Linked DNA regions of Mus musculus. The main gene of each other region encodes a partner of the protein of the gene in region 3 in a complex. Links are inferred from orthologs where the notes say so. Each region holds a gene or a part of one and is shown on either strand. Other genes may lie near its edges. The genes, in order: B9d1, Tmem67, Tmem231, B9d2 and Tmem107.

The links.
Region 1: Tmem231 (region 3) and B9d1 share a complex: the UniProt entries of both Homo sapiens proteins name them as parts of the tectonic-like complex. The link is inferred for Mus musculus from reciprocal best matches to the Homo sapiens genes TMEM231 and B9D1.
Region 2: Tmem231 (region 3) and Tmem67 share a complex: the UniProt entries of both Homo sapiens proteins name them as parts of the tectonic-like complex. The link is inferred for Mus musculus from reciprocal best matches to the Homo sapiens genes TMEM231 and TMEM67.
Region 4: Tmem231 (region 3) and B9d2 share a complex: the UniProt entries of both Homo sapiens proteins name them as parts of the tectonic-like complex. The link is inferred for Mus musculus from reciprocal best matches to the Homo sapiens genes TMEM231 and B9D2.
Region 5: Tmem231 (region 3) and Tmem107 share a complex: the UniProt entries of both Homo sapiens proteins name them as parts of the tectonic-like complex. The link is inferred for Mus musculus from reciprocal best matches to the Homo sapiens genes TMEM231 and TMEM107.

The regions. Positions count from the first base shown.
Region 1 is NC_000077.6:61,502,645-61,508,899, reverse strand, and holds the start of B9d1 (B9 domain-containing protein 1 isoform 1 precursor), read right to left. Parts: upstream 3,757-6,255; 5' UTR 3,692-3,756; coding exon 3,629-3,691; exon of another isoform or gene 3,328-3,628; intron 2,557-3,327; coding exon 2,488-2,556; intron 1,273-2,487; coding exon 1,161-1,272; intron 1-1,160. UniProt on the Homo sapiens protein: Component of the tectonic-like complex, a complex localized at the transition zone of primary cilia and acting as a barrier that prevents diffusion of transmembrane proteins between the cilia and plasma membranes.
Region 2 is NC_000070.6:12,048,874-12,054,387, reverse strand, and holds part of Tmem67 (meckelin precursor), read left to right. Parts: intron 1-92; exon of another isoform or gene 93-241; intron 242-344; exon of another isoform or gene 345-613; coding exon 614-713; exon of another isoform or gene 714-801; coding exon 802-941; exon of another isoform or gene 942-1,106; intron 1,107-2,859; coding exon 2,860-3,000; intron 3,001-5,514. UniProt on the Homo sapiens protein: Required for ciliary structure and function. Part of the tectonic-like complex which is required for tissue-specific ciliogenesis and may regulate ciliary membrane composition.
Region 3 is NC_000074.6:111,930,262-111,936,363, forward strand, and holds the start of Tmem231 (transmembrane protein 231), read right to left. Parts: upstream 3,553-6,102; 5' UTR 3,506-3,552; coding exon 3,367-3,505; intron 3,269-3,366; coding exon 3,099-3,268; intron 1-3,098. UniProt on the Homo sapiens protein: Transmembrane component of the tectonic-like complex, a complex localized at the transition zone of primary cilia and acting as a barrier that prevents diffusion of transmembrane proteins between the cilia and plasma membranes.
Region 4 is NC_000073.6:25,678,390-25,684,567, reverse strand, and holds the start of B9d2 (B9 domain-containing protein 2), read right to left. Parts: upstream 3,789-6,178; 5' UTR 3,590-3,788; intron 3,411-3,589; exon of another isoform or gene 3,186-3,410; 5' UTR 3,182-3,185; coding exon 3,094-3,181; intron 1,278-3,093; coding exon 1,152-1,277; intron 1-1,151. UniProt on the Homo sapiens protein: Component of the tectonic-like complex, a complex localized at the transition zone of primary cilia and acting as a barrier that prevents diffusion of transmembrane proteins between the cilia and plasma membranes.
Region 5 is NC_000077.6:69,068,491-69,074,745, reverse strand, and holds Tmem107 (transmembrane protein 107), read right to left. Parts: upstream 3,938-6,255; 5' UTR 3,800-3,937; coding exon 3,713-3,799; intron 3,523-3,712; coding exon 3,455-3,522; intron 3,373-3,454; coding exon 3,272-3,372; intron 2,324-3,271; coding exon 2,227-2,323; coding exon of another isoform or gene 2,148-2,226; exon of another isoform or gene 2,001-2,147; coding exon 1,931-2,000; 3' UTR 1,453-1,930; downstream 1-1,452. UniProt on the Homo sapiens protein: Plays a role in cilia formation and embryonic patterning. Requires for normal Sonic hedgehog (Shh) signaling in the neural tube and acts in combination with GLI2 and GLI3 to pattern ventral and intermediate neuronal cell types.

The DNA.
Region 1 (6,255 bases), on a different chromosome or scaffold from region 3:
CCTGGGAGTGTTCTCCATACCTCAGCTCACAGCTAGGAAGACAGAGCCAGAACATTTAGTAGACACAGGAAGTCCTGTGGAGGCCCTCTTCGAACCCTGAGCCCTGCTTTCTTACTCACTGATTGATGCGTGTGGTTTTCACCAACTGTGATACCCTGTGGGAAATCATGGCTTTCCAGGTATTTTTTCCTTAACATATTGACGTTTCCAAATGCTTCCTTTTCATATCCAGTCAGGCCTTCTAAGGTGTCTGCCCTCTCTATGTAGCAGACAGATCTACTACTATCTGCTACTCTAAATGACAGGTAAGGCCTGGAAGTTGGCTCTGTAATTACTGTTGAACGGCCTCAGACAAGTCCAACCTTTTCTCTCATGACCTTTCTTGTGTCTAAAAGCCTTGGAATAGTACCAACCACAGGGGGTGCTCAGTAAAGGATGAAGAAATCTGTGCCTTCCACACTATTACTCTGCCACCAAAGGTAACCTGGGAGTTACTCAGATAGATAGTTCCTGTATAGTGGCTTGTTCATTCTCGGTGCCAAATATCTGACCACCACCGTATACTGCAGTTAACTGTGATTGTGGGCACATGAGCTGTTCCTTTGAGAACTGTTGCAGTAAGTCTCAGATCAGTCACTCACGGGCTCTTGTCACACTGTGTGCTCTTCTCTGTTGGGTATGTGCTTAGAAAGACTCAGGCAGGCAGGTACAGTACTACAGTACACTCAGTGTTCTCTGAACTGCCTTGAGACTACAGGCTTGCTAACCTTGGCAGATCAACCTTAGCCTGCCCTGGTTGATCTCCATTGTTCTGCTTGCTTTGCAAGGACGCAGATTAGAAACCGAGGGGCTATAGGGGAAAGCTTCACCCAGAACACGAGCAGAAGGCTCAGAAGTGGGCCCTGAGCAACTAGTACAGGATGAGCCGATACTGGAGCTGACTGGAGCACTACAATGGGAAGCTGGACAACTTGGGGTCAGGCCACGTGGCTGCAGCATTGCAGGCTCCATGTGCAAACTGCACTTAACAAAAAAGGCAGATGTTGAGTGCATCAAAAGCTGGGGCACAAACTCAGACACTGGCAGGGCAGCCTAAAGAAGGAGAGTGGTGGCAGATGCGGCAGAAGATCTCCCCCTTCCAGCATGGCCCACAGACTCACAGCCATAGGGGTTGGTACTTTTAAAGGTCACATCGATGGGGAAGTTCCACACCAGTGCTTGCCGTACATCTTGGCTCTTAGATGCTATCTGTGAGATCCCCTCCTCCAGACCCTGAATAGACATAGATATAGAGATAGCTGGTTTGAGTTCCAGGAACCCATGACCTTTCTGTCTAAGTAGGCAAGTTGGGGAGGTCACTTAAGTTCTATGTTGCTTCTTTCCACTCTCCCTTTAAATATTTATCCACAATGCCTTGGTCTAGATTCTTCCCTCCCAGTTAGTCATACACTCTAGCTCCTGATCCACTCCCTCTTCATTCCACCCATCTTTGGCTAACAGACCAGAATGTATCCAACTTAGTGTCTCCTTAACAAGAACAGATGTCTCTACAAGATGGGGGCTTCTGTCAGACATTGGTCACTCCCAGAGGACTCAAATAGTCATGAAGTTACAGATGGTTGTGAGCCACAATGTGGGTGCTGAGAATCAAACTGGGGCCCTCTGCAAAAGTACCCATTCTAACTGTTCAGTCATTTCTCCAGCCCCAAAGGCAGCTTACAACATCCTATAATTACAGCTCTAGGGGATCTGACCTGTGGCCTCAATAGCCACTTGCATTCATACCCATACACAGATATATACACACACATAATTTAAAATGGAATTAATCTCTAATATATATTGAAAGCATTAGAAAAACCAAAAAATATTAACATGTCCGTGATACAAATGAAGAAACTTGGGCTCAAAGAAGTCGGGCTTTAATTTTATTTTTTCCATTTGTTTGGTATTATATATGTAGCCCAGCTTGACCTTGAATTCCTAGAGATGCTCCTGCCTCAGCCTTCTGTGCTGGATTACAGGCATATGCTATCCTGTTTGGCTTCCACTTTTTAAACTATTGTATAGTATCATAGTGGTCTGCACTGCAGCCGCTTCCTGTGGTAAAAAGACTCCTTAAAACCTTAAGAAGAGATCCTTCATTTTGTCCTGGCTCCTGGTTGTTTTCTGCTGCCTGAGAAGGGGCCATGTTTTGTTTTCAGGTGGGGGTATTGGCTGATGCTGTCCAAAGCCACTGGCAGGTGGTTCTCCAGAGCCTGCCTGGTTAGGCTGCTACTTGTCCCTCTCAGCTGCCACTAACAGACTCCAGGGGTACACCAGCGAACCCAGTAGTGACTGTATTCTATAAACTAGCTTTCCCCCAAAAACAAATGCAATGTTTAGGTCATCTCTGACCTTAGTGTCTACCTCTTGGTCTCGAATAGAAGGGTATGATTCAGGAATCACCAAAGCTCTAACCAGAGGAGGCCCATGAGTCCAACTTACCGCTGTTGGGGCCCAGTCCTGGCCATACACAAAGCAGTACTTGCAGTAGAGGTCATCATACTCTGGAAACTGAGAGAAAAAGTATACAGGATTCTGTCTAGAAAGGGCAAACTGGGCCCACACATTAGCTAGGCAGATGCAGTGGACAGGAATTAGGAACACGAGGCATCTGGGACTGAGGAGGTGGACATGGGTTTCAGGGCGGGCAGGGAATGGAAATCAGGAAGTCAGGCTTAGTCCCAGACTGCCAATACCCGTAGGTTATTTTGCTCAGGGTCTACTTTCTGTCTTGTCTTTCTCAGTCCACATGTGGTAGGCCCCTTGCCCATCTTTCAGAGTTCCCCTTCAGTCTCTAGCTGGCTTAAGGATCATTGCTTGGCTCCCTTCACTTCTCTGCATTTCTGCATGTGGGTACCTAATGTCTATCTGATAACCCTGTTAGACTGAAGAAGGAACAGGTTTCATGCCTCAGCGCATCTCCAGTGCTGGGCACAAATTAGCTCTACAGAAATGATGCTCACGTGAAACCCAGAAGCTACAGGGCCAAAGAACATGGCTAAAACTGAGGGTCCCGGAGAAAGGAAGGCCCAGGGCAGACGCCAAGGAAGGTGTCCAGAGTAAGCAGCCCAGACATCCTCTAATCGGATAGAGGAAAACAGGGAGGACGCAGTACCAATGAATGGGAAGGCAGGAACACCTACTGAGCTTCAGACTTGGCAGAACCTAAAGCATGTCAGCCAAACCTCAGAATATGTAGGAATAATGGGCATTTTCAACAAGCAGCCCAGAAGAATAATGTAGCAAAGTTCTGTCTCTTAGACGGACCGGGTCAAATCCCACCTTGGCCACTGCCTTCCGGTAAGTTCCCAGCTGTTAAATGGATCAGCTGAGTCTTCAGTCCCATTAGTCCTAGGCCACCACTCAACCAAGTAAACAGGATCCAAGTGGTACCAGCTGAACGCCTCGAGGTCTGTTTTCACTCAAGCTTGTCCGGTTCATCTACCTGGAGCCAAGGTTCTCAAATGCTGCTTCTCCTTTCCATTTATTTGAGATGCTCAGAGCATCTTGGCTTTCTAGGAGCTGAGCGAAGAGCCCGGGGAGAGAAACAGGCCGTCCCCGGGCGGAGTCCACGACTGCTTACCTGTGCGCTCTCTACCTGCCCGGTGATCATGAGCAGGAAGACGCTGGGACTTGCTGCAGCCATTGCACTGATGGGCCGGGAGACCGGCGCAGGCCGCGCGCTGTTGCCAGGAGGCTCTCGGTTGTCTTGGAAACAGACGGTAAGTCGTCTAGGACAAATTTCTCAAGCGGTGACGAGTTCGCTCAAAGGTAAGAGTGCGCAGGCGCAGTAGTCTTTATGGCTTTGGGCACTGTCCTCCGTGTCTGTCGCGCGGAACCTAACCCCCAGGGGCGGGTCCACGGACCCGCACTGTGTGACTTCACTCGTCTGGCCATGCTTGAAGCTCGCAGGCTGCAAAGCTGGATGTTGAGAAGAAGCAGCACCGGCACTCAGGCCCGCGGAAAGTCACGTGCTAGAGTTACCTCTCTCCAGGTGGTGTCGCTGTTGCCACACACAGCGACGGCAAAGACGCCATCGTTGGAAGGCTTGGTGCGCGGGAGTGGTCCAGCGGGCATCACCCAGCACATTGTCTCAGGTGAAGAATGCGCCCTTCAGCCCTATGAGGCTCTTGTCATCGAAACCCGGAGACTCCATTTGTCCAAGTCCCGCGTCCTGCATGAGAAGCTGGAGCCCACGGAACCAGTCACCCAATTTTGGAAAATCACTGGTAGCTCAGGGATGTCAGAGCTTGGTCCCAAGCCACCAGCATCCTTTTCGGTAGACACCATTGTTAGTGCTTGGATTCAACTGCACTTACTCTATCACTGTCCAATTCAAGGTGGCTTAATGCGAGCTTCTTGCCTTTAGATCCCCAGCTCGACTCTAGGGGCATTGAATGCCTGGTCCTCATTGCCCGGCCAGTGCAAAATATTTGGGAACTACTTCTTTAATAAATAAAATTGAACACATCTCAGTTTTCTGGAGGGCGTGACTGAAATCCAGACCTGGAAGGTAATTTAGCCATATTCGTTACAGGAATTTAGCTGCAGAATCAGACTTCACTTTCAGAGCTTATAAGGAAACATCAAAGAGCACATTAATGATGAGGGAGCCTGGAAACAAACGGATGCAGATGTGTATACTTTAGGGAGCTCAGCCTGCAGTAATGACACCAGGTCACGCTAACTGTTAGCTTGGAAGTCAGTTGGCGGGATTCCCAAAGCCACCTATGGGGAAGAGGAAAGGCATGTGGTCACAGCGTTCTAGGTGGGCCGAGGTGCAAGCATGTAAGAAATTCTTTTAGCTTAGAGCCAAGAGTCATACAAGCAGAGGCTCTAGGCCCCTCTCTCCTAGCCGGTGGCTGCCACTTGCTGTTCTTTACTGAAAGCGTTGGAAAGATACAGGCTACTGAAAGGAAGCCTTCTCAATCCCCAAATTACTCATTAGATAAGGCTTTTCTGTCCTAAACCAACAGGATGAGACATTTAGGAAGAGGTCTGTGCTGGCTAGTTTTTTTGTCAATTTGGCACAAGCCATAGTTATCTGAGAGGAGGGAACCAAGATTGAGAAAGCCTCCATGTGATTGGGCTTGTAAGCCTGTTGAACATTTTCTTAATTAGTGATTGGTGGAGAAGGGCCAGGCCCACTGTGGATGGTGCTACCCTAGGCTGGTGATCCTGAGTTCTATGAGAAAACAAACCTGGGGATGATTTCAGTCACTGGTACCTGTACTCTCTCAGGCCTTTTCTGTCCTGTAGGAGAATGTTCCCATCTAGTTACTAAAGGCATCCATAGCAGGAGATACCGTATGCTCCTGGTTTGGGCATATGAGTGAAGCCATAAGTCTTCATCAAGGAACCCTCATTTTATAAAATGTTTCATTCTCCTTATCACTGCAGAGGTAAGATAATGAAAAGCATCCCCAGGCTCTCACCCAGCAGCTGTAGAGTGCTCGAGGACCCTGGTAGATGTTCTGGTGAGTTTTATGTCAATTTGACAAAAGCTAGGGTCATCAGAGAGACAGGAGTCTCAGTTAAGAAAATGCCTCCTGGGGGCTGGTGAGATGGCTCAGTGGGTAAGAGCACCTGACTGCTCTTCCGAAGGTCTGAAGTTCAAATCCCAGCAACCACATGGTGGCTCACAACCACCCATAATGAGATCTGATGCCCTCTTCTGGTGTGTCTGAAGACAGCTACAGTGTACTTACATGTAATAAATAAATAAATAAATAAATAAAAGTGTGTGTGCACCACCAATATCTGGCTGATATTGTTTAAAAAAAAAAAAGAAAAAAGAAAATGCCTCCTTAAGATTGGGCTGTAGGTGAGCCTGTGGGGCATTTTCCTAATTACTGATTGATGTGGGAGGGCCCAGCCCACTGTGAGCTGAGTCCATTCCAAGGCTGATGATTCTAACTTCAGTAAAAAGCAGCAGATCCCTTCACCCCATGGCCTCTTCATCAGTTCCTGCCTCTATGTCCGGCCCTGTTAGAGATCCTATCCTGACTTCCTTTGTTGATGAACCATGATGGGAGTGTAAGCTGAATAAATCTTTCTTTCTCAACTTGCTTTGGTCATTGTGTTTCATCACAGCAATAGTAACTAAGACAAGTTGGTACCAGGAGAGTGGGGCATGGCTGACAGACCTGACCATGTTGTTTTCGGGAGGACTGTGGAGAGACTTTGGAGCTTTGGGTTTGAAGAGCCATT
Region 2 (5,514 bases), on a different chromosome or scaffold from region 3:
GAAATCAGTATTAACTTTCCCTCCTCATCCTTCTGTGGCAGCCACCCCTCCAGCTGTGCCTTCCCCCTTGTAGCTGACAGCTCCACACATACCTATTTAGTAGCCACATCCCATTGTCTTTTGGACGTGAAGTCTCTGCTTTAGCCACTGAGAGAGGAACTCTTCTGCAGAGTTACCATCCTGTACTTGGTCAACAATGCACCCAGGATGAGAACTCGGTGTAGATGGACCGTTCCTGTAACTGAGAGAAAGATGTTCCAACAACACACGGCTTTCTAGCTCAGTTCCAGAGACAGGAAAGACAGCAGGGGTATCTACTGCTTCTACGGGGCTTTGCAGCTTACCTTTGTATAAAGAAGTCAGACAATGTGCAGAGCCTAGAGGAAGGGAGTCATTTATGCAAGGGTCCTGTAGGAGAGGGGGAGGGAGGATATCTCCTCTTTTCTCATGTTCCTATTTTAAGGGGGGAAAAAAAAGAAGGCGAATTAATAGGTGTGTGGCTTGGTATATGATGTGCCCTTGTGATTATACTTGCTTTGTAAAGAGTATGTAGCTTTATAATTGCTCTTGAGTGATGATTCTTTTCAAGTGTTTTGTTGTATGTTACTTTTAGGCTCTCCAGTTTTTACATAAGTTCATATCCCAGATTTCCATAGATATATTCTTTATTGATTGGGAACGGCCGAAAGGAAAAGTTCTTAAAGCTGTTGAAGGTAACTGAAATTGGTGTTTGTGCCATAATTCTCTTGCTGCCTGCAGCGCAAAGGGAAAGTGCTGTACTCACGTGATCTCCCCTCCCAGGTGAGGGTGGTGTGCGGAGTGCCACTGTTCCTGTGAGCATATGGAGAACGTATTTCGTGGCAAATGAATGGAATGAGATTCAGACTGTGAGAAAAATTAATCCACTCTTTCAAGTGCTTACCACACTCTTCTTCTTGGAGGTATGTATGAGCTATCATATAATCATATGATGCTGCTTATTAACACTGCATAAGTGTTATTATCATCTCAAGTAATTTCTCAGACAGCGCAGCAGTTTTCTGTGGTAAAGTATTGTTGGCAAAACAGTATAAGGAAGTGTCCTTAACATTCCCCCTTTGTCCTTCCTATAAAACAAAAAAAAAAAAAGCAAAACTTAAATACGATGTGATGGGGCCTTAGAAAGTTGCCCATCAGAACCACTTTTAAATGCGGAGGTCAGTGCTATAGGTATATCCACATTGCAACAAATTCTCACCACATCTGCCTCCAGAGCTCTGTCTTACAACCCAAGCTCGTTGTGCCTATGCAACAGTTTAGAAGCCCCCATTTCCCTTCCCTGCAGCCCTGGGTACCACCATTCTACTTTGTGCCTCCTAAAGCCAGAGTACCAGTGATCTGTGGCAGAATTGCTAGTGAACTTGTGTAAAATACCTGTGTTGCTTATCATTACAGATCAGTTGTAGTATCTTTCAGGTGATCCCCTCTATATATTATCAAAGCCTTCCCTACTATAGGATCCATATTCTCACCCCTGCCTTGGGACTATTGTACTATTTCTACACTATTGTACATTTTCTACTTGGGAATTTGAGGTGAAAGTGTCACAAGTTCAAGCTCTTGTCTGGCCTTGAGAATAAGTTCAAGGCTAGTCTGGACAATTTAGTAAGACCTTGTCTCCAAATAGTTATGGGAAGTGGGGCATGCTGTGCAGGAGATAGCTCAGTAATAAAGCATACTCAGCATCCAGGAGGCCCTAGGTTTACTCTCCAGCATATCCCTCCACACAGGTAATGTGTTTATAGTATACAGCATGATTTGTCAGTATACATATATGTTGTAGAATGTACACATATATTTTAGAATGGCCAATCAACATGTCTCTTGCTTCACATACTTATCTTTTCGGTAAGCAGTGTTTTGTTTTGTTTTAATACTGTTTGATGAAGTCAGGTATAGTATTACAAGATTGTAACCCCCAAGTCTCTGAAGGGAGAAGCAGAAGAGAGTCAAGAATTCAAGGTCTACACCTTGCTGGCCCAAGCCTCTTTTACTATGCCCAGTGTTCCACTCCTGAGGGTGGAGTCCTCCTGTCTTAACCCTCTCTCACTTTAACACTGTTACGTTGAGGGCTCCTTTCTAACACATGCTTTCTGGGATTTACTTTCAGACCATGACACGTAATATTATGAGATGATACAAGCTTGCAAGATGTCACAGTTGCTAATTACAGGCCACTTTTCAAGGTAGAGATTGTTAACAGCAGCACTTCTGTTCCTCACTAGTCAGTGACAACAATGTGTTCACCTTTGTGTCAGTGTTTCCAGTGTGACACTAAAAACAAAGGCACATAGCAAGTTCTAAAATAGCCTAGCCTAGGCTAAGGAGACCCAGCTTTAAATAAATAAGTAATAAAATTTGAATATTTGGTGAACTTGAAAAGGTTCTACATGATTCTACGGTTAACTTTGCAAAACACATAAATAAAGGTTTATGGGAACCTTACTGTAAAATTTTTTAAGCTCTTTGTTTTATTTTACATGGGGATGAAGCATGGCAGTCAATGTAGTATACTCACCAAAGTTATTTAACTACAGCTTCATTTCATCCAGAAGGTACATTTCTTGGAAGGCATTTTGGAATATATTGTTTTGAAATACAGAAAGTATTTAGCATAGTGTCTGGTATGTGTTAAATACTCATGAATTGCTACTTGTTTGTTTAATTTATTGGTAGATTTAGGTTTGGTTTGTGTCTAAGTTTCCTACGGCTCCTAAGCTTGTTTTTCAAGGCAGGTAGGTAGAGAAACGTATTTCATTTTCCATCTAGAAACTTCTCTTCCTATGTCTGTTTAAATTCTCATTTTTCCTTTTCCCTCAGGTTGTGGGATTCAAAAATTTAGCGTTAATGGATTCATCCTCCAGCCTTTCTAGAAACCCATCAGACTACACAGCTCCTTACAGCCGCATTCTGAGATATGCCGTGGCTACTGCTATCTGGCTGGTGATTGGAATAATACAGGTAGACGGCATTGCCAGTTTGGAACCCTGCTTGTGTTCCTGTGTCTCTCAGGTGCTGAGTTTCACACAGAAAGAAGGCACAAAGCAGTCATAGAGCTCTCTGTGCTGATTGTATCATGATCCAGGCATGTGCGAATCAGTAACTGCTTTATACACGCTAACTACTGTGCATAGACAGGTTAGTCAGCATCCTCCTGTGACAAGACAGGAGACAGGAGGCTCTGGAGAGTTGACAAGTTGCTAAAGGTCACACACATGGGAATGGCAAAACTGGAATTTGAACCCAGGCAGTTTGGGGTCAGAGTTCATTTTTTATCACTTGTGGCCTCTTTTTAGAAACTCAGATCCAGGGCAGATGTGCACTATATTTTCTTTCTCTTGTTTATATTTTTTATATAGAATTTTCTTTACCTGTTTGTTTAAATTATCATTTTCCTTTGGATTGGATTCATGTGGCATTCCACAACCTGAGGGTGGACTTTTCCCCCATCCTGAGAACTGATTTTTGGAATGTACATTTTTTGAGCATTGGTGATACTGTTCAAACTTGAAGCTACAGGACTGGAGCTAGTGAAAACTAGTAAACTTAATACCAGGAGAGAGGACACGCATACAATAGAATTTGAAATAAGACCCTTTGATGAGTGTGAGTTTGATGTTTGGAAGTATTGTGCACAGTCCACTGTGTTTTGTGAACATGGCTACTGCATCTGAATTTAAAATAGTATCATTGGAGGGAATTTCATGGAATTCCATCTGAAGCATTTCCCATTTCATTAAATGTAACAAGAAATATTTCCTTCCCCTTCCACATTCTTGTGAAAGAGCAGAAGCCATAGTGTCAGCTTGCTGTTGTCATCAGGGCCAAGGAGCCTGCTCTCTGCCATGTGGAGCCTCCAGCCCCGAGTCCATCTCCTGGGCTAACGGCCGATGGATAGAAGGGAATTAAATGGGAGTCTAGTTTTTTCCTCTCCCTTTTTGTGTAAGTCTTGGGGCAGGAGAAATGACTCGGTGGTTAAGAGCACATTCCATTTCGACTTTGTGGCTGTGACATACACCAATGACAAAAACAGCTTAGGGGACAAAAGATTTGTTGGACTTATACTCCCAGGTCACAGATGATCACAGAGAGATGTAAGGGCAGAAAATCCAGCAGGAACTTGAAGCCTCCCTGTATTGCAGGGCTGCTTGCTGGCCTGCCCGTGAACTCATGCATGACTAAGTTTCTCATACAGCACAAGACCACCTACCCAGAGAATGGTGCTGCCCAGAGGTAACTGGGCTCTCCTACATCAGTTAATAATCAGGGCAGTCCCCAGCAGACATGCCCACAGGCCAATCTGACCTGGGGAGTCCCCAAATTCTGGGTCATATTAAGTTGGTGATTTAAGCTAGCTAGACTCACCTTGGTACTCCTACAGAGAACCAGAACTGCAGTTTCTAGAGGATCGATGGCCTCTCTGGCCCCTGTAGACACCTGCATGCACATGCACATATACATGCTCACCAGCAGATGCACACACACTTAAAAGAAGTAAAAATTTTCAAACAAACCAAAAGAACAAAAAACAAAACACCAAAGAGCTTTTGTGAAGTACCACTAAGTATCTTCTTGGCTAGGAGTCATTCCTATGGCCATACCTAACTGTGCTGATGCCCTTCAACTGGGCATCAGTGTGTCCTGACCATAGTACAGGTCTGTGGCTAAGAAGAAAGGAGAAGGTGGCTAGGACAGTAACTGGCAATCTTGCCACCGCCTAACCTCATCCTGTGTTCCCACGTTGCCTTTAGACCAATAAGAAAGAAAGCCTTTCTGTCTATTCTAAGGATATCCCTCAAATATCTGTGAGTTCCTTTGCCTGTTCAAAAGCGGGTCTAATTGTAAGGGGAGATTCTGATACTAAGGTCTAGTTCCCTAATTGGTTCTTGATTTGTCAATAAAGAAGGCTGGGAGTCAATTGCTGGGCATAAGGTACAGGTGGGACTTCTGGGTCCCAAGAGGGAAAGGAGCCACAGGGAAGTACAGAAGGAGCCAGGGGGCTTTTCTGCCATGCTTTGGAATGAGAAGAAGGCAGCAATCATGTAAGGTCTCTGAGCAGCTAGGGCCTGTGGCCTCTGCTATGGGCAGATTGCCAAAGATTTTTGTCAGGGACTAGGTAGAACAAGCCACTAAGATTAGGGCGGGAGGAGAAACGGAGATAATAAATCGGTAAGGGCATGCCTTTCCAGGTGGGAGGTATCTACACCCAGAAATTGTGCTTAGCAAGTTAAAAGGTAACAGCTGTGTGTGTGTGTGTGTGTGTGTGTGTGTGTGTGTGTGTGTGTGTGTGTGTGTGTGCGCGCGTGCGTGCGTGCGTGCGTGTGTGGTGTGTGTGTGGGTGTGTGCGTGTGTGTGTGTGTGTGTGTGGTGTGTGTGCGTGTGTGTGGTGTGTGTGTGTGGGTGTGTGCGTGTGTGTGTGTGTGTGCGTGTGTGTGTGCGTGTGTGTGTGTGTGTGTGTGTGTGTGTGCGTGTGTG
Region 3 (6,102 bases):
CTAAAAACAAACAAACAAATAAAAAACTGTCTTAAAGTAAAACTAGAACTAATTTTTGTTTGTTTGTTTGTTTTGTTTTGTTTTTTTTCGAGACAGGGTTTCTCTGTGTAGCCCTGGCTGTCCTGGAACTCACTTTGTAGACCAGGCTGGCCTTGAACTCAGAAATCTGCCTGCCTCTACCTCCCAAGTGCTGGGATTAAAGGAGTGCGCCACCACCACCCAGCAAAACTAGAGCTAATTTTGTTTAAGGTTTTTGTTTGTTTGTTTTTTACATTTGATCTTAGCCAAAAGGCCGAGAAGCGATAGGTTTTGTTTGTTTTCACCTTTGGAAAGAAAACACATGAAGTGTGGATCTTAAGAAGCTCAGTGAGTGAGTACACAGGGAAGGGCAGGTCCACCTCTACCCTGGCCCCTCACCCAATCACTCTTCTCTAGAGGCCTTAGAGCGGAGTTTCTCAACCTATGGATCTCAAGTTCTTTGGGGAGGTGGGGAGCTGAAGGACCCTTTCACAGAGGCTGCATATCAGTTACATTACAATTCATAAAAGTAGCAAAATTACAGTTATGAAGTAGCAATGAAATAATTTTTTAGTTGTGGTCACGACAGCATAAGGAACTGTGTTAAAGGATGGAAGCACTAGGAAGGCTCTATTGCATTAGAGGCTTGAGAATAAAAATGGGGCCAGGTGTGGCCGGCCTTGCTTGTAATCTTCGTAGTTAGTAAGAGAAGGATCACCAGATCCATATGGGCAACCTGGCCCATAGCTGGACTTCATTACAAAGCCCTGTCTTAGGGATAAATAAATTAATAAATGGAGCTGGAGAGCTGGCTTAGCAGTTCAGAGCACTGGCGGTTCCTCTAGAGGATCCTGGTTTAATTCCCAGGGCCCATAGGGCAGTTTACAACTGTCTATAACTCCAGTTCCAGGGGATCCGAGGCACCAGGCATCACATAGTATACATATATGTGCATGTAGGCAAAGTACCCACACACAGAGAATAAAATAAGCAAAGCAGCAAGGTAAGTACATAAATAGTAAAAGCAGGCGTGGTGGCTCACAACTGCAGTCTCAGCGCTGAGCAGGCACAGGCTGGAAGACCGAAACACAAAGTCTTTAAGGTCATCCTAGGCTACAAAACCAAGCCATCCTGGATGACATGACATGCAGTCTCAAGAAACTAAAAGGGTATGTGTTGGTGGCCTGGGGGAAGAGTCTTGACCATCTGAAGAATAAAAGAGTGCAATGATGTTAAAACAAAACAAAACTTCCAAAGCAAAAACTTTTGCATTAGTTACCTAATGAGAGTGTGTTAGAAGCCCTCCCCAGGCTGGGTGGCTGGCGGTAGTAGCAGAGGGGAGGGAGAGGTTGACAAATCTCTGAGTTCGAGGCCAACCTGGTCAACAGAGCAAGTTATTTGACAGCCAGCGCTACACAGAGAAACCCTGTTCTAACAAATAGAAAGAAACGCTTTCCAGATGTTTAAATAAGATTTGCCGAGTCTCCACCTCTTTCATGAGAATCCTCTACTGACATTCCACGGGGGAAGCTGGAGCCTGCGCTCCCCTCCCACTCCCACCAGGCCCCATCGCACCTCCCCCTCTCTCATCCCTTCAGTTTCCCTAGGTGCGCATTTTGCTTAGTCAGCCTTTCATGTCGTAACTAAGACTACTACGCAAGTCCGGTTCGCAACCTTGACTGCGCATCCTTCCTAGCGTCTTCTCGTGGCTTATTTCCTTGCAGTTAACAATTACTTTACTTGCTTGCTTTGTTTTCTCTAAGTGCATGAAATTTCAACAAAACGCTTCCACTGGCATTCAGACGTGCATGACTTAAGTCTGGGCCTCACGTCTGTAGTCCCAGCTTCGTAGCTGGCTGAACTGGGCTTACAGCTTGGGCAGGCAACATAGCAATAACCCATCTCAAAAAGAATAAAAAAGCTGTAGGATTTAGTTAAAGCTTTGTTTATTCACTTACTAATTTTAATAGTAAAACGATTGGAGCAAATTAAAAAAAAAAAAAATCAAGGATGGGTAATGAGATAGCTCAGCAGGTAAAGACTCCTGCAGCCAACCCTGGGAATCCAAGCTGGATTCCCGGGACAGTGACAGGAGGGAACTGACCCCTCCAAGTTGTCTTTTGACTTTACATGCCAGCGCTACGCTTTTGAGACTGAATAGCCCTGAGCTTGCTGTATAGGTCAGGGAAGGGGGGGGGCAATCCTGCCTCAGGTGGAGGTTAGAAACAAAATATTTACTAACAAACACCTAGTTAAAGTCATCACTCTGCCCATGTCATTATATGAACGGCAAGGGATGACCGTAAGGAAGCACTTGATTTATGCGAAAGTAAACACTAAACTGCAGCCAGTAAAATGTTTCCCTTACACAGGAGACAGCTGCAGTGTGGCAAAGAGTTGAGAAGCCTAACCCAGACAGGCGTGGCTTGGCTAGAGCAGGACCTGAGAATTCAACCAATCACCGCTTGCCCCGCCCTACCCCGCATCAAGTCTGCATAAAAACACTGGTACTTTCTGTCTTTACAGCTTGGTGATGTTCAAACTCAGCAGCGTACTGGGGTGTACAGAACTCCGCCTACAAGCCCTCAAAGGGGTTTTTTCTTCAGCCACCTTTCCATTCAGAAAATGACCAGCACCAGAAACAGGCTCTGGACTCTTGTTGTCCGGCAAACACAGTGCCTGCACGGCTGCCTTTCTAGGGAAACCTGGAGAAACTGAATAAAACTATCTAGAAAGTTAAGCATGCGCAGGCCAAAGGGACTTTTGTTTCCAACCCTCGTGGCTCCTTAAGATCCAAGCTGTGGGACTGAGAGTGGCTCAGTGGTTAAGTCCTTGCATGCAAGCACAAAGCCTTGGGTTTGATTCCCAGCACCCCATATACCCCAGCAGGGCGTTGCATAGCGAATCCCCGGCACTGGGAAGGTGAAGGCCGAGTATCAGTTGTTGAAAGACGACTTTGGCTATATAGTTTAAGGCAAGCCTGGGATACACGAGACTCTGCTCTCACACCCGGTCAAATGACCCAAACTGGGATCTCACTCCATCCTATCACCCCCAGGATCCGGGCGGGAACCACGCACCGACACGAGCGGGACGCGCAGGTGAGCCCCCTGCAGCCGGTTGAAGGTGGGGAACGTGCTCCAGGCGAGGAAGGCTTCAGGCTCCGGCCCCAGGAGAGCCACGAGCAGCACTTGGTGCTGGAAGCGCACGTTCGGCTGCTCCTCGTAGCTGCTCCGCTTCAGCCAAAACCCTGCGGGAGACAAGGCGGGTTGGGGGGAGCCAGGTTAGGATTGCCGGCCTGGGCCCGCCGGCCGCGCCGTGTGGCCCTCCAGGCCCGGGCAGGCTCACCGTGGCTCCGGAAGGCCACCAGCAGCGGGGGGATGTAGGTGAGCGCGGTGGTCAACAGCAGGAAGAGCGCGGCCTTGGAGCAGAGCCCCGCGCGGTAAGCGCGCTCGATTGGGTGAGAGAAGAGATGGTACAGCGCCATGAGCGCAGGGCCGCAGCGCCGAGTCTCCACGGCAACCGACGGCGGGCAGAGGAACCAATAGCAGGCATGCAGGCCTCTAGAAGGGGGTGGAGCTAGCAGGAGGAGGGTCCTGTGTTAGTGCTGTGCCTGCGCGTCTCTTCAAGAAGGCAACTGTATGGGCTGGTGAGATGGCTCAGCCGGTAAGAGCGCTGACTGCTCTTCCAAAGGTCCTGAGTCAAATCCCAGCAACCACATGGTGGCTCACAACCATCCATAATGAGATCTGACGCCCTCTTCCGGAATGTCTGAAGACAGCTACAGTGGTGTACTTACATATAATAAATAAATCTTAAAAAAAAAAAAAAGAAAGCAACTGTAATGATATTTTCACTCACCAAAGTCTGTGTCAATTGTACAAAATCAGACGTGCATAGATGTTGACATCACCCCATAGATCATCTATTAACTCATGACATAAGGATGGTTGATGTAGCTTAGTTGGTAGAGGGCTAGCCTACTATACAGGAAGCCCTGAGTTCATCTCCAGCACTTCATTAAACCAGGCACCTTGGCCCACATCTGTAACACTAACAACTCTTCAGGTGAAGACAGAAGGATCAGAAGTCCAAGGTCATCTTTAGCTACATTGTGAGTTTGAGACCAGCCAGAGATACTGGAGACTTTGTTTCAATGCAAAAACTCCATTGAGGTTCATACTGAAGTCGGGACATTCCTATAACAAGGCCACCGTCCTAGAACCAGGTACTTTTGTCTTCAAGGTTAATGCTTTCACTATGCCCCATAGCAGGAAAGATAGAAAACAGGAAACAAACCCCCTGATTATTTAAAGGTTAGAACAAAAACAAAAAATAAAAGGCCGGGCGTAGTGGTGCACGCCTTTAATCCCAGCACTCAGGAGGCAGAGGCAGGCGGATTTCTGAGTTTGAGGCCAGCCTGGTCTACAAAGTGAGTTTCAGAACAGCCGGGGCTACACAGAGAAACCCTGTCTCGGAAAAAAAAAAAAAAAAAAAAAGGTTAAAGGGTATTTTACTAAATGGCTCCTTCTGTTGTACTTTGTTAGCTATAAACACTGATACTGTCTTCCCCAAAGTTAGCATTAGCTGATCACTTAGGTAAATACTAACACCAATATCTTAACATGGAAGACAGATTTTTACCTGTTTGGAAGTAGGGTCTTACTATGTAGCCTGTGCTGGCCCTCAATTCTCCTTTCTCCAGGTCCTCTGCAAGAACAATCGGTGCTCTTAACAATTGGGTCATCTCTCCAGCTCCCACCATCTATCTTAATTCTGGAAAGGCTGTCCTCTGACCTCTACATGCCTGTCATGGTGCTCATCTGCATCTATGCACAAATAATGAATAAGTAAATGTAGTGTAACATGTAAGTAAGCTGGAGAGGCCGGTTTTCCAGAGGATCAAGGTTTGACTTTCAGCACCCACACAGGGGCTCAGAGCCAACTGTAACTCCAGTCCTAGGGGATCCAACAGCTTCTGTGGGCACTGCAGACACATGGTCCATAGACACACACGCAGGCAAAACACCCAAACACATGTAGTTAAAATAAAGGTGTTGGCACACAGCTTTGATCCCAGTGTTTAGGAGACAGAGGCAGTCAGATCTCTGAGTTCTAGGCCAGCCTGGTCTACAGAGTGACTTCCAGGACAGCCAAGGCTACAATGAAAAACCTTGTCTCAAAAAATAAATAATAATAATAATAGGAAATATAAATGTATTTTTAAATTAAAAAATAAAAACTGTGCTTAAATAACCGTTTTGGAATGGCTGAATGTAATGTAGATTCTTTGTGGTGGTTGTTCTCTGAGTAAGAGAATGTTTGCCTCCAAAGAGTCGACAGAAGGAAACATACACTGTCGCTAAGTCACCGGTGAGACAGGGAGGTGACTGTTACGAATTTAGAAGTATAAAATGGTTTAGCCTTAGCTGGGTGTGGTGGTGTATACCTTTATTCCCAGCACTGGGGAGGCAGAAGCAGAGACAGAGGGAGGTGGATTTCTGTGAGTCCCAGACCAACCCAATCTACATTGTGTTCTCCTGTCCCTGAAGTTTGCCTCAAAAGATGATAAAGTCATTTCCTTCCAACTATGTATTTCAGATGGGAGTAGGGGGTTCATACCTGAAATCCTAGTGTTTTGAAGGCTGAGACAGGAGGATCAGGTGTTTAAGGCCAAGCTTGGCTACAAAGCAAGCCTGAGGCCAGCCTGGGCTACATGAAACTAGCACAACCATCCAAGCCAGGCTGGTTCAGTAGGAAAGAACACTGGCAGCATAAACAGGAGCTCAGGAAAAAGCCAGATCAGGATGTGTGTGCCTGTAATTTCAGGATGGCTGGGGCTTTTGGTGACTGCTAGACTAGCTCCAGATTCAATAAGAAACCCTGTCTCAGAGGAATAAATGATGTGTGGTAGGGAGAGACCCCTGATATCCTACTGTGACCATCACATCTATACACGTGGGCACAGGCATCCACATACATGAATGTATAAACCACAAGCATAGGAATTCAAGTCCAGTCTTGGCTATATTGTCCTGGGATACACACACGAGACCTTGGTCATAAACAAAATTAAAGAAAACA
Region 4 (6,178 bases), on a different chromosome or scaffold from region 3:
GAGTTCCAGGACAGCCAGGGCTATACAGAGAAACCCTGTCTTGAAAAACAAAACAAAACAAAACAAAACAAAAAACAAAAAATGGTCCCGGAAAGAGAAGATGGACAGAGAAGGCTGGGTGGGATGGGGTGAGAAACAAAAGTGGGTTTCAGAGCCGCCAGGGTTTGTTGGTGAGCTGAGAGACTAAGAAGGAAGCAAACAGGGAGGAAGACAGCTAAGGCCAGGACTGAGGAAAACTTCCAACGTATCACCCTCACAAACTAGTACAATTGTTCAGAAGGAGAATCTGATCCATCCATTTCTTCTTGGGCTCCCCAGAGCCTTCGAGAATCAGTCTTAGTGCCTTTGCAGGCGAGGCCTTACATTCTGTCCCTGCCGCCTCATCCCCCACTGTCCTTCTCACCCACAGACAGCGAATACCCAGGACACACCTCCCCATTTCTACCTGGCTCCAGCTCTCTGACTCCACCCTCTGTCTTTGTCCTTGGGCCTAGTTAGCTTCTCTTGGCCCTTTACAGCAGAACTCTAACTGCTCTGCCCTATAAGGCCATGGGACCAATCAGAGATGACTTCTGTGTTTCCAGGGCCTCTGTGCTGGCCACATTTGGAAACAGGTCTATCTTCTACCTATAATGGAACCCTTGATGACAGGGCTTGGAGGGTCCTTCTTAGTTGGGGATGTCCCTGCTCAAGCTGGACAGACGTAGGCTCAGTCAACAGTCCTCATTCCCAGAATCTGCTGTGTTTTAACCAGAAAAGCTGCACTGACATGATACCCTCCTCCTCCCTCGAAGACTCACTTCCCCTTTGAGCAGAACCTCTGCCTGTGTGAGCAACGGCAACTGGCCCATTTCCTGTCCCTCTCCTCCCTATCTATCTCTCTTTACCCTATGCAGCCTCCTCAGTGGCCGTTAGTCAAAGGCCCCTCCCACTTGACCCCCACTTCCTGATATCTTCTCTACCCCAACCTCCGGCACATTCCACAGGCCTAGGGTTCTGAATAGCTCGGGTGAGGCCTCAAATGCACTGCTCTAGGGGAGGCTGTACCAGAAAAGGGACCCACAAAGTACAGGGAGCAGACAGCCATGGTGTTCCAAGCCCAGCTCCTCTTAGTTTGACTGCCCCTCCCCATCCTGTCATCCTGTACCCACCTTGGAGACCTTTAGTAGCGAAGTGCAGGTCAATGGGGTGGGACCAGTAAGCCATGTCCCCTATCTGGGGTGTGTCTACCTGTGTCTGGCCTTCTCGTACACCTGAGAGGAGCTTCCATGCGGCCCCTGTAATGAGAACCAGGACATCAGGGTTTGGGGGATAGCAACCTTCAAGAAGGGGACCTGCCGTGGCAATGAGTTTGTTCCCTCTGGTATCTGGGAGTGGGAGTTACACAGTGTAGACTCTAGAGCCAAGTGTCTGGATCCAGATCTTGGCACTGGCAGTGTACATCTGAAATCTCAGCACTTGGGAGTTTGTTTGGGGCTTTCTTGGGCTGCCTGATGAGTGTCAGGTCAGCATGGGCTACAATGTGGGTCTCAGTCTCTAAAGAAAAATTGGAGGGGTTGAAGAGCACGTGAGAGAGAATAAAGCCAGGCAGTGGTGGTGCACACAGTTGGTCTTAGCCCTGGGGAGGCAGAGGCAGGCTGATCTCTGTGACTTCAAAGCCAGCCTGGTCTACAGAAGGAGTTCCCAGGGCTGCCAGGGCTACACAGAGAATCCCGTGTAGAAATCCTGGCACGATTCATATATGTGTTCTGTATTTTGCAGTGTTAGGGATGGAACCTAGAGCAGTACATATGCAAGAGCTCTCTAGCAACAGTCTACACTCCCCAGCCCAAGTTGATGCAACCCTGGCAGAGTAGCTTCTCTCTGTTTCCCTGTCTATAAAACAAGCGACAAAAAACACAATCTCACAAGTTATGAGAGGACTCACATAGCAAGGATGAACTATGAATTTTTAAAATATTATTCACTTGTTAATCCTCATGACTGCAGCTGGCGATGTGATCCAGAGGCACACGCTCTATGCTCTGCTGATGAGCTGCACTCTCAGCACCAACAGAGAGCCTCCTTTCTTAAGACAAGGTCTCATATAGCCAAGGCTAGCCTCAAACCTCTGTCGTAGCTAAGGATGACCTACGCTCCCCGGGTGACGAGATCCCCAGCATTTTCCTTCCTCTATGCACCCCACATTCAGAAGCCTCCGTCAAAGACCAAGAAGAGACTGGGCACCATCTGCGAGCACATCACAACCCCAGTGAGGAGCAAGGAGAAGCAGTGCCCACATACTGAGCACTACACCCCAGATGCTCTGCTAAACGCTCTGGGCAATGCCTTCACCTTATCTGCTCTCTGGGATTCTAACTGCCCCCTCCCAACACACACACACACACACACACACACACACACACACACACACACACACACGAAGCTTTCAGACTCCTCACTGTTGCCACGAAGGCCCATGTGTGACCTGGATCCTGTCACTCATCTGCCACTGCCGCTCCCCACCCTCAAGCCTCACTGGTCCCATCCTGTTCCCTTGCCTCAAGGCCTTGGCAGCGGCTGTTCCTTTTGCCCTGAAACGTCTGCTACTGGGTGCCCATTTCCGGCTGTTTTCCTCCTGCCCCCCAATTCAAGTGCCACTTGCACAGAAAGGCTTTCTCTGATCTCAGACCTCCACATCCCAAATCAGCCCCCAGCACATCACTTTCTTTTTTTCCCTAGAACTTACAATAATCTTGTATATATTTTGTGCTCTTTTCTTTGAGACAGGGCCCCAAACTTGTAATAGAAGGCTTCCTAGGTGCTGGAATTACAGATATGCATAAGCACACCTAGTTTGTCTACTGGCCTGAGGACAGGAAGTGTGTGTGTGTGTGTGTGTGTGTGTGTGTGTGTGTGCGCGCGTGTTTTCTATGTCACAGCCCCATATGCTTAGGGGCTATGTTTTCCGATGGTGAGATAACATGAAAGACAAGGATAAAGAGAAGCAAACAGTATGAGTTCATTGGAGAATCGAGGAAGGAACATGGAGACTTAGGCTAGGGGAGGGAGCTGGGTATTGTTTGGGAGATGAACAAGGTGTGAGGAGGATACCTGTGTGGATGCCCCACTTGCAAAAGAGGCTGCTTTCCGAGAAACCGGTGGCCCCTATGATCTGCCCGATCACGTGCACTTCAGCCATGGCTCTAGGAAAGGAAAAATTCAATCACAACCCTGTGAGGTAACTGTATTATTTCCATCTGACAGCTGGGAAAACTGAAGCCTATCACATAAAGAACAGCACTGTGATTCTAAGCTAGTTCCACCAACCCACTGACAATGTGGCCTTCATCACAGATACAAGCCACGTCCCCAGAAAAGCCCAAGAAAAATGGGGAAGTCTCCCAGAGGTGTGGGAACCTGCACCAATAAATAAACCAAGGCTCAGACGCTTAGAAAGCCCCGCCCCAGGGTTGTGGCCCCGCCCACATGTGCAAGGCCCCGCCCCTTCGCGGCAGATCAGCCAAGCTTCAAAAGGCGCATGCGTCTCGTCTCGGGTGTAGGGCCGCTTTACCCTTGCCCGTAGGCGTAGCGCATGCGTCATTCCTACCTCCGCGTACTTGACCGTTAGAAGTGAAAGCTGCCTCGGGGATGGTAGTTCACGGGCTTCTTTGCGGGCGCCGTCGAGACTAGTCTCGCTCCCCTCCCGGGCCCTTCCAGGCGGAGGGAGATCTGAGGTAGATAGATCCGCAGCCTCGCTCTCCTGGGGTGCCCCGACTGTTGCTGGGGCAACAGCAGGTTCCTCCCCTGAGCCCGCCCTGCGTGCTGATGATTGGTGCTATAGCTGCCCTCTGGGGGGCGGGGCGTAGTCGTGATGGACGCGGTCATTCGGGACTTTTTTGCGAGAATTGCATAGGTCTTGCTCCTGCGACGCCTTACGCCCCAGAGTGGGAGGCCTGGCGGGTTATCTCTATCAGCAGTTGAGGAAGTTAGAACGCCAACTGTTTCCTCTCCATATCTTCTTCACGCAATAAGCAAATCTATTGATGCTCTTTGCTTCCTCAAAACAAAACACCTTTCCTGTTCAGGATCACAGCCAGAATGGAGCCAGCCGACACTAAACGGGCACCTAAAGGGACTCCCATAGTAGTCATCTCTATGTTGTAGCTGGAGGGGAAAAAAGGACCTCCATATTCTGACACTAGAGAAATTGGGAAGTGGGTTTCTCTTCAGTTTTCAGAGCTTCCTCAGATTTCTCAAGGACTGAGAAGTCCAAGTTCTTTCTCAGAGTCACTGCAAAGTTCATTCTAGCAGCTGGTTTTGAACAAACAGGTTGGAGTAAAGATAAATGAGGAAGACGGGGCTGGAGAGATGGTGCAACAAGAGCGCTTGCCTCACTTCCAGAGAACTGGAGTTCGGTTCCCAGCATTCTGTAACTCCAGCTCCAACTCTGCCCTCTTCTGGCGTCCCAGAGGACACTTCCCACCCTCAACCCCTGCCCCGCGCACAGGTGGCATACACAAATAATAAAAATAAATCCTACAAAAGGAAGGAAGAAGCCCCTTTGGCAGGAAGTCAGGGAAGAAAGCCTCTCTCCTTTATATATATATATTTTTTTCCCAAGTCGGAAACAAATTTTAAAAATTTTATGATGAGTATTGTGGCTCATGAGAGACTGAGGCAGGAGGAATGCTGCAAATTTAAAGCCAGCCTGGGCTATTAAGTGAGTTCCAGGCCAATCCCCCTTAAACAAACAAACTAAAACTAAAACAAGAACTTAAGTCGTGTGTGTGTGTGTGTGTGTGTGTGTGGTGTGTTCAGGTGTATGGGTGGTTGTTTGTATGGTGCATATGTAGAGGCCAGAAGATAGCTCGTCTGTGTGGTGTGTGTGTGTGTGTGTGTGTGTGTGTGTGTGTGTGTGTGGTGTGTTCAGGTGTATGGGTGGTTGTTTGTATGGTGCATATGTAGAGGCCAGAAGCTAGCTCACCAACCTCCAAGGTTGTCCCTAGAAGCTATCCACTTTTTTTTCCTTCCAATTTTCAGGATATGTGTTACCAACACTAACACCACTGTTTTTGTGTGCTTGCTTTTTAAACATCTGTTGTTTGCACTGGTGTTTTTCACGTATATCTGAGCACCAGGTGCATGCAGTGCCTGCCAAGGCTACAGGAGAGTATCTGGCGTTCTGGAGAGTGCATTGCAGGCAGTAGTGACCACCCAGGACACACGGTAAGAATGGAACTTGAGACCTATGCGAGAGCACACTATGCTCTTGCCAACTGAGCCATTTCTCCAGGCCATACAGTATTTGTTGTATTGACTTATTTAATTCAGTAATTCTGTCATGCAGGCTCATCCACATTGTAAGTGTGTGTCCGAATTTCCCTCCTTTGGAGTGTCACAGTGCATTCAGTGTAACTAGAGCCCACACTTTATTCAGGTATTCACTGGAAATGGGAGTCTAGAACCACGTGGTTGCCATGGTGTTCTCCATGGCAGCTGGAATAGGGCTTCACACCTTGCTTTCTTCTGCCACTGACTCATTTTAGGAACAGAAGGATCTGAACCACCTTCTTCAAGAACATCACTTTGTAAGTATTAGGTACAGAAAAGTGCACACACAGTAAGCGAACGTCTCGGTGGATTTCATAAACCGAATATACCTGATGCCCAAAGAAAACAAGGCACAGGTTATGGATAGGCTGTGTACCTGCTCACTCCTCATGGAAACATTCCAGGGAGGACAAAGAACCCCTAGGAATCAGGAAGTACGCTGGAGAGGGAGCTTGGTTGTTAAGATGTTTGCTTCTCTTCCAGAGGACCTGAGGTCACTTTGCAGCATCCATGTCCTGTGGCTTACAACTAACTATAACTCCAGACCCAGAAGAGCTAGCACAAAACTATCTCTGTGGCATACACTCAGACACACACACACACACACACACACACACACACACACACACACACAATAAAACTAAAAAACAGGTTTTTGGTTTTGGTTTGGAGACAGTTTCTTTATGAAGCCGTGGCTGTCCCGAAACTCACTACGTAGACCAGACTGGCCCCAAATTCAAAGATCTGCCTGCCTCTGCCTCCAGAGTGCTGGGATTAAGAGCATGTACCACCACCCCTACCTAAAAAAATCTTTAAATCAAGAAGTAAAGAAAATACATGTTGTGGTCTCTTTCTCTCAAGCATT
Region 5 (6,255 bases), on a different chromosome or scaffold from region 3:
AGTGAGTTCCAGGACAGCCAGGGCTACACAAAGAAACCACCCTGTCTCTGGGGGTGGGGGTGGGGAGGTGTTTTGAGAGATTTGCCTACAAAAAGGAGCAGACTTTCTGGGGTCAAAGGGGCCTGTACTTCACAATCCAGGTAACAGAGGGTGATGCTAAGCATTCAGCAGACAGAACTGTTTCAAGCCTGCAGCTGCTTGGGGAACTTCTCAGGCTGTGCTCAGCCTCCATCCCGAGCTGCTCCACCCTCTTCACAGCATTGCTCAAGAGCTGGGCCAACTTGTCCATCCCTACAAGGGGCAGTAATTCCTATTGTTTTGTTGGCGAAAGGGTACTTACTACTCAGCCCTGGCTGGCTGGAAACGCACTTCGTAGACCAGGCTGGCCTTGAAGTTGTGGCCCGCCTGCTTCTGTCTACTGAGTGCTGGTATTGTGGGCATGATCACCATTCCTGGCTGCTTTAAGTTTGTGACACTGAGGATTTCACTCAGGGCCTCAAGGCATAGCAAGTATGCACTTACCAGTGAGCTAGCTGTATCTTCAGTGTAAATATAACCTACTTAATTGCAAGTTCACACTGTTTAATTTAAGTAAGAGTTCGGTTTGGCAACCTGTCAGTAAGGCTCCTGGAAAAAGAAATGTTTTCCAAGTTCAGTAAGACAAATGCAAGGGTGTGGGTGTGGGCTTCTCCCAGAGCTGTACTTAAGTTTCTCAGCAATAGCTGAGACATATGTAACATTTTGGTGACTCTGAAACTTATTTTTTTTAAGCATGTACCACAGTTTACAGGATTAAATAAGTCTGGGAGTACTGTAAAACTTTTTTGTCTCTGTATGCCAAAGCTGAGTATAGGTCATATCACATCTATTTTCTCAGTACTGTTAACAGGGCTTTGCCTATGGTAAGGAGATCATTAAATTGAATGTGGGGAAGAAGACAAGAGATGCTTTAGGTAATAGTTAAGGAATTATCAGAAAGCACCTCCTGGCAAGCATAAGGAGTGGCCATGGGTGCTTTCCAGGAGCTGGGCAAACAACCAACAGCCACCTTGATGGCATTGTTTACCATAGAAGTGAAGACCTTAAAACTATGACTGGCCAGTTTAGGACAAATTATAAACAGCACACAGTCTGGCTGTAAAGGTCTACCAATCAGCACATTGGAAAAGTGTGATCGCCAGGGAATCAGATAGGAGCAACCAGGATGTTGTCAGGTCCTGATTGCATGGAAATGCTAATCAGCAGATCATGCAAGCTCCAATCATCATTTTCTACTGCCCTCCGAAAGGAGGAACAGGTAAGGATTAACCTCCTGACGATAAAAGGCAGAGGGAGCCCATTGCTAAATAAGTAGAGACATTTCCTATTAAAGGAAGGGTGAGAATACGTCACTTTAGCACGAGCCCAGTGACTTACAGTTCTTGCAACGCAAGAATAATATCTATTTGCAAGTCGTTTGAAGTATTTTATTCTCCATTCGGCACAAAAAGGGAGAAACAAAACCATCCCAGAATGCTCCCCTCACACGCGGCAAATTAGAAGCGCTATGTGAGATAGTTATTTGCATATCCCCGCCCACTCACTTCCGCCTAGCTTCTAGCGTAAAAACCCAAATAGAAGCATTACTTCTAGCCCTAACCACAAGATAAAAGCCTTTATTTATACCAGCCTCTTGGCCCATCCAATGGTCTTCTGAAAAATAGTATACGCCTTGCTCTTGTTATAAAATAAATTTTATTACAAAACTCTAATAAAATTATAATCCAAGATTTGAGAGATCTTATTCCAACACTGCCATCCTCTGCTTAGCCGCAGTTGGGAGGAGCAAGGGACTTGGGCGAGAGAAAACTGAAGCCTCTGCCTTTTTCTTGCAGCAGTGGGAGGAAGCTTCATCACTTTTCCAGCCTTGGTCCCTACACCCGGATTGTGATCAGAAGGGTTTCTTTTTCAGCCCAAAGACAGCGATGAATAATGCAGTTTCAGTGACAGCTGGGAAGGCGCTGTGAAAAGTACGGGGCCGCGGGGGAGGGGGGGGAGTTAGAGCCCCTTCCAACCCAAACACTTGAACCTCCAAACCTTATATGCGGGTGGGTTAGGGTGGGTATGACTCTTCAAAACTCTACCAATTTCACATGTGCAGGAAAGGTCTAGGTGGGGGAAACCTTCAGATTTGGGATCGATTTTCCACCACCCCCCCCCATTCCAAAATATTGGGTGCTAGGGCACCTGCAGAAGGTAAAAATGTACCAGTACGTGGTACATTCCCATCGCTCGAATACGAAGAAAGACAGGGCCACAGACGCGCTACAGTGGGCTGCAATGGCTTAACAATACAGAGGGGGTCAAGGAAAGTAATCGGTTCGTGATGGGCCCCGTTGGTACCTGGACTTGGGTTCAGCTTGTACCCTTCCCTTAAGACAAGCGCCAGAGTTGGCAGCCAATGCCTTCTGAATTTATGGACAGTTATGTGTAAGAGACCAGAGCTGAGTTTGCTTTGATAGGACCTCTCCCTGTACACTCTGTACACTTCTGGGAAGGTTAATGTCATATATGCCCTAGGCCACACAAGAATACCTACAGATCTGATACACTGGGGATTTCTCCAGTGCCCTGGTCTTCCTTGTCCACAATTCAAGAGTAAAGAGCTACCTTTTTAAAAACACAAACAAACAAACAAAACAAAACAAGCCAGGCAGTGGTGGTGCATGCCTTTAATCCAGCACTTGGGAGGCAGAGGCAGGTGGATTTCGGAGTTCGAGGCCAGCCTGGTCTACTGAGTTCCAGGACAGCCTAGGTCTACATAGAGAAACCCTGTCTTAGATAACCTAAATATATAAGTAAAATAAGATTTAAAAAAACCCAAAAAATTCACCTGCCCCTGCCTCCCGTGCACTAGGATTAAAGGCTTGCAGAACCACACCTGGGCTCTATTTTCTTGGTCCCTTCTGAGTTCCCATAGTGCTTTGTATTTTACACACACCTACAAGCATACTGTTTAATCACACTGATTTACAGATGTTTGTCTGCCACCTCTTCAAACGGGATAAAATGATTTTACTCCCATCCAGGGATCGCCAGAACCTGGCTCACATCCGGATTTAACGAATGTTTGAAGTCTATTAATTCCCCAACAGTGTCTAAAACCTCTCACCTAGAGAGAGATTCGGTTTACCATGTAGAGCAGACACTTGTGCCCCAAAGGCCTACAGAGGTGGAAAGAGTGGTAACTGGGATGAGTCACCTGAGGACGATGGCCAAATAAAAAGGATACAGAGGAGGCTCTGGGTGCTATTGAACATGGAGACTCCTGAGAGGAAGCCAGCCAGCTCCACTGCAAAGAGGCCCAGGGTGAGACAGAGCGCGGCTACCAGCCTGCAGAGAGAAAAGGGCTTGGACCAAGGTTTCTGGATTCTGTTGAAGACCCCTGCACTCTCACCCCGCCCCAAGAGCTCACTGGTTGTCCTGCTTTTCGTATTCCTCCGGGGTGAATTTGAGAGGCAGGCAAGCCTGGATGTTGCTTTCCTGGCGAGCCGGGCAGAAAGAAAGAAATGTCAAAAGAGGAATGGGGCTGCGGGGACAAGTTGGGAAGGGGCCGGGGAACGGAGCAACGAACGGACCCTGTGTGAGTGGACTGAGCTGAGCTGGGTCCACTCCAAGATGAGAATGGGAGGGCCAGGAGGGCACGCGCACGCGCGCCCTGTCCGCGTCTTACCCGGGACCAGAACAACGTGATGACAACCACCAGATGAGCCAAGAGCGTCAGGAACCGAGAGGGCACGAGCCCGGAGATCCGACCCATGGCCTCGGGGGCCTCGAGTGGAGGCCGTGGGTTTTGAGGTTGGAAGTCTGGGGTGGGTCACTCATCAAGTCTCCCTGAGCAAGCAGGCCAGACCTCTCTACTTAAGTGTCCTTCCCGCGCGCTCGGGCGCCGCCCGGCTGCCATGGTAACTGCGTCCGCAAGCGCCACGCTGCTGCTTTCGGAAGTCTCGCGATAGTGCTGCTCCCTCTACCAACGTCTATAGGCGCGGTACGTGAGCCGTTGATGGACCCAAGAGGATGCAGCCAGAACCACCAAATCCTCCCTTCTCCTGTGCTTCCCACTCACTGCCTTGGGCGCTAGGAGTCGAGGGGACGAACGAGGAGAGGCTGATGCACCGAGCTTGTCCCAGGGTCAGGCTAAGTCCCCTAGCCCCTGGTTGTCAGAGGACTCCCCCTTCCGCCCTAGAGCAAAACTTTGCCGAAGAATGACTCTAATTTCTTCCTAAATAACTTGTCTCCGTGTCATGAGAGATTTGCCGAGTGCAGAAATGAGCAGCCTTGGGATGGTTAAAATTGGATGTGGGTGAGGTGACTGCCTCGGGAACCGAGGGGATCTGAAAGGGTGAAGAATGGAGCGGGGGACTGGAACTGCTTGCGCTTAGCCTAGGCTGGGACGCTGACCCACCACCGATTTCACTCTTGCTCTGAGTTGTTAGGCCCCGGACATTGCTCAGTTACAGACCAAGAACCTCTTCTTAGGGTGATGTGACCGATTTGGGGCTTCGGATGAAATCCCTGCAGATCGGAGAATCGGAAAGTTCTCAGCACTTTCCAGTTCACAATCAAGTCCCATGTCAATGGACCTCCCATCCCACTTGCACTCTCTGGTCCCTCCATTCCTTTTTCTTTGTGCCTCTAAACCAGCCCAAAAGACAAGGCTCAGGACCAGAGGGATTTCATCTATTCAACAAATATTTGATGTCTCCCAGATGCCAGGCACTGTGCCCCAAATCTGAGAGTACCTCGATAAAGTCCCTCCAGGTTATATTCTAGGTGGGGAGATTGATAACAGCCAAAACAAGAACAAAACCCAGCGAGGTAATGCGTGCTATAATTTTTTTAAATTAAAAGATAATACTAGAATAATATCAAAGGGAAGCTTTGAAAATAGATACTTCTTAAATTTTTGTTTCAAGGAATTGGCAGAGAGAGAGAGGAAGGAGGTGGAGGAGGAGGAGGAGGAGGAGGAGGAGGAAGAAGAAGAAGAAGAAGAAGAAGAAGAAGAAGAAATGATTCTGTCTCCCTAAAGTAATACATGGGGTTCCCTTTCCTAAGCCAGTTAAAGGTCATGAAAGACAGACTGGAGGTCTTCTAAATGAACGGGGGGTAGGGGGGTGTCTAACTGAACCTGAGATCCCAAACCAGGCAAAAGAATTGCCCCCCCCTCGCCCCCTTTTATTATAAAAGACTGAGGTGAGATGCTTGGCAAGTTTTGTATAGGGTTTGTAACTTAAACAACAGCATTGTAATCATGTAATTTCCTGATTTTTTTTTTCAGTATTGGAGATAAGCTCCAGGCCTCTTACATATAGGTAGGTAAGCACCCTCCACTGAGCCATCCTCCCATCTTCCCTTCTGAGACCCTATAGTATTATCAACGCAGAGAATGGCATTCTAAAACACAAAGAATAATCTATAGCATTGAATGTCCTTATATATTCAGCTCCTACTTATTGAAGCTTCTGCCTGTGGGCTGCACTGGGGATCAAACACAGGGTATGGACCACGCTAAATGATTACTTTACTACTGAGCTCCACTCAAGCTCCTATATGGTGAAACTATAACTTTTTCATATAAAATTGAGTCTTAAGCTGGATAGGGGGAAACACCTATAGTCCCAGCATTTGGGAGGTGGGGGAAAGAGGTTTAGAAATTCAAGGTCATGCTAGGTTATATAGTCAGCTCAATAAAAGGAAAAAACTAAAATGTCTCTACAAAAAAAAATGTAGAAATGGCTTAGTGATTAATCCTTGCACCAGGTGTTAATCCTAGCACTCAGGAGGCAGAGGCAGACAGATCTCTGTGAGTTCAAGGCCAGCCTGGTCTACAAAGCAGGACAGCCAAGGCTACACAGAAACCCTCTGTTGAAAGAAAGAGCACAGAATACTCTTGTTAAATTCAGTTCCCAGCACTCGTATGGTGCTGCTTACAACTTCTTGTATCTCCAGATCCAGTGCCCTCTTCTGGAAACTACACACACACACACACACACACACACACTCAACACACACATGCACACACACTCACACATACACTCATACTCACACTTAACACACCACACACAATCACACTCAACACACACATACACACACACAAACACACACAAGGACTCACACTCAATGCACATACACAATATTTAAAATAAATCTCCAGGCATGGTGGTACACAGCTTCAGTCCTAGCACTCAGGAGGCAGAGGCAGACAGGTCTGTAGGG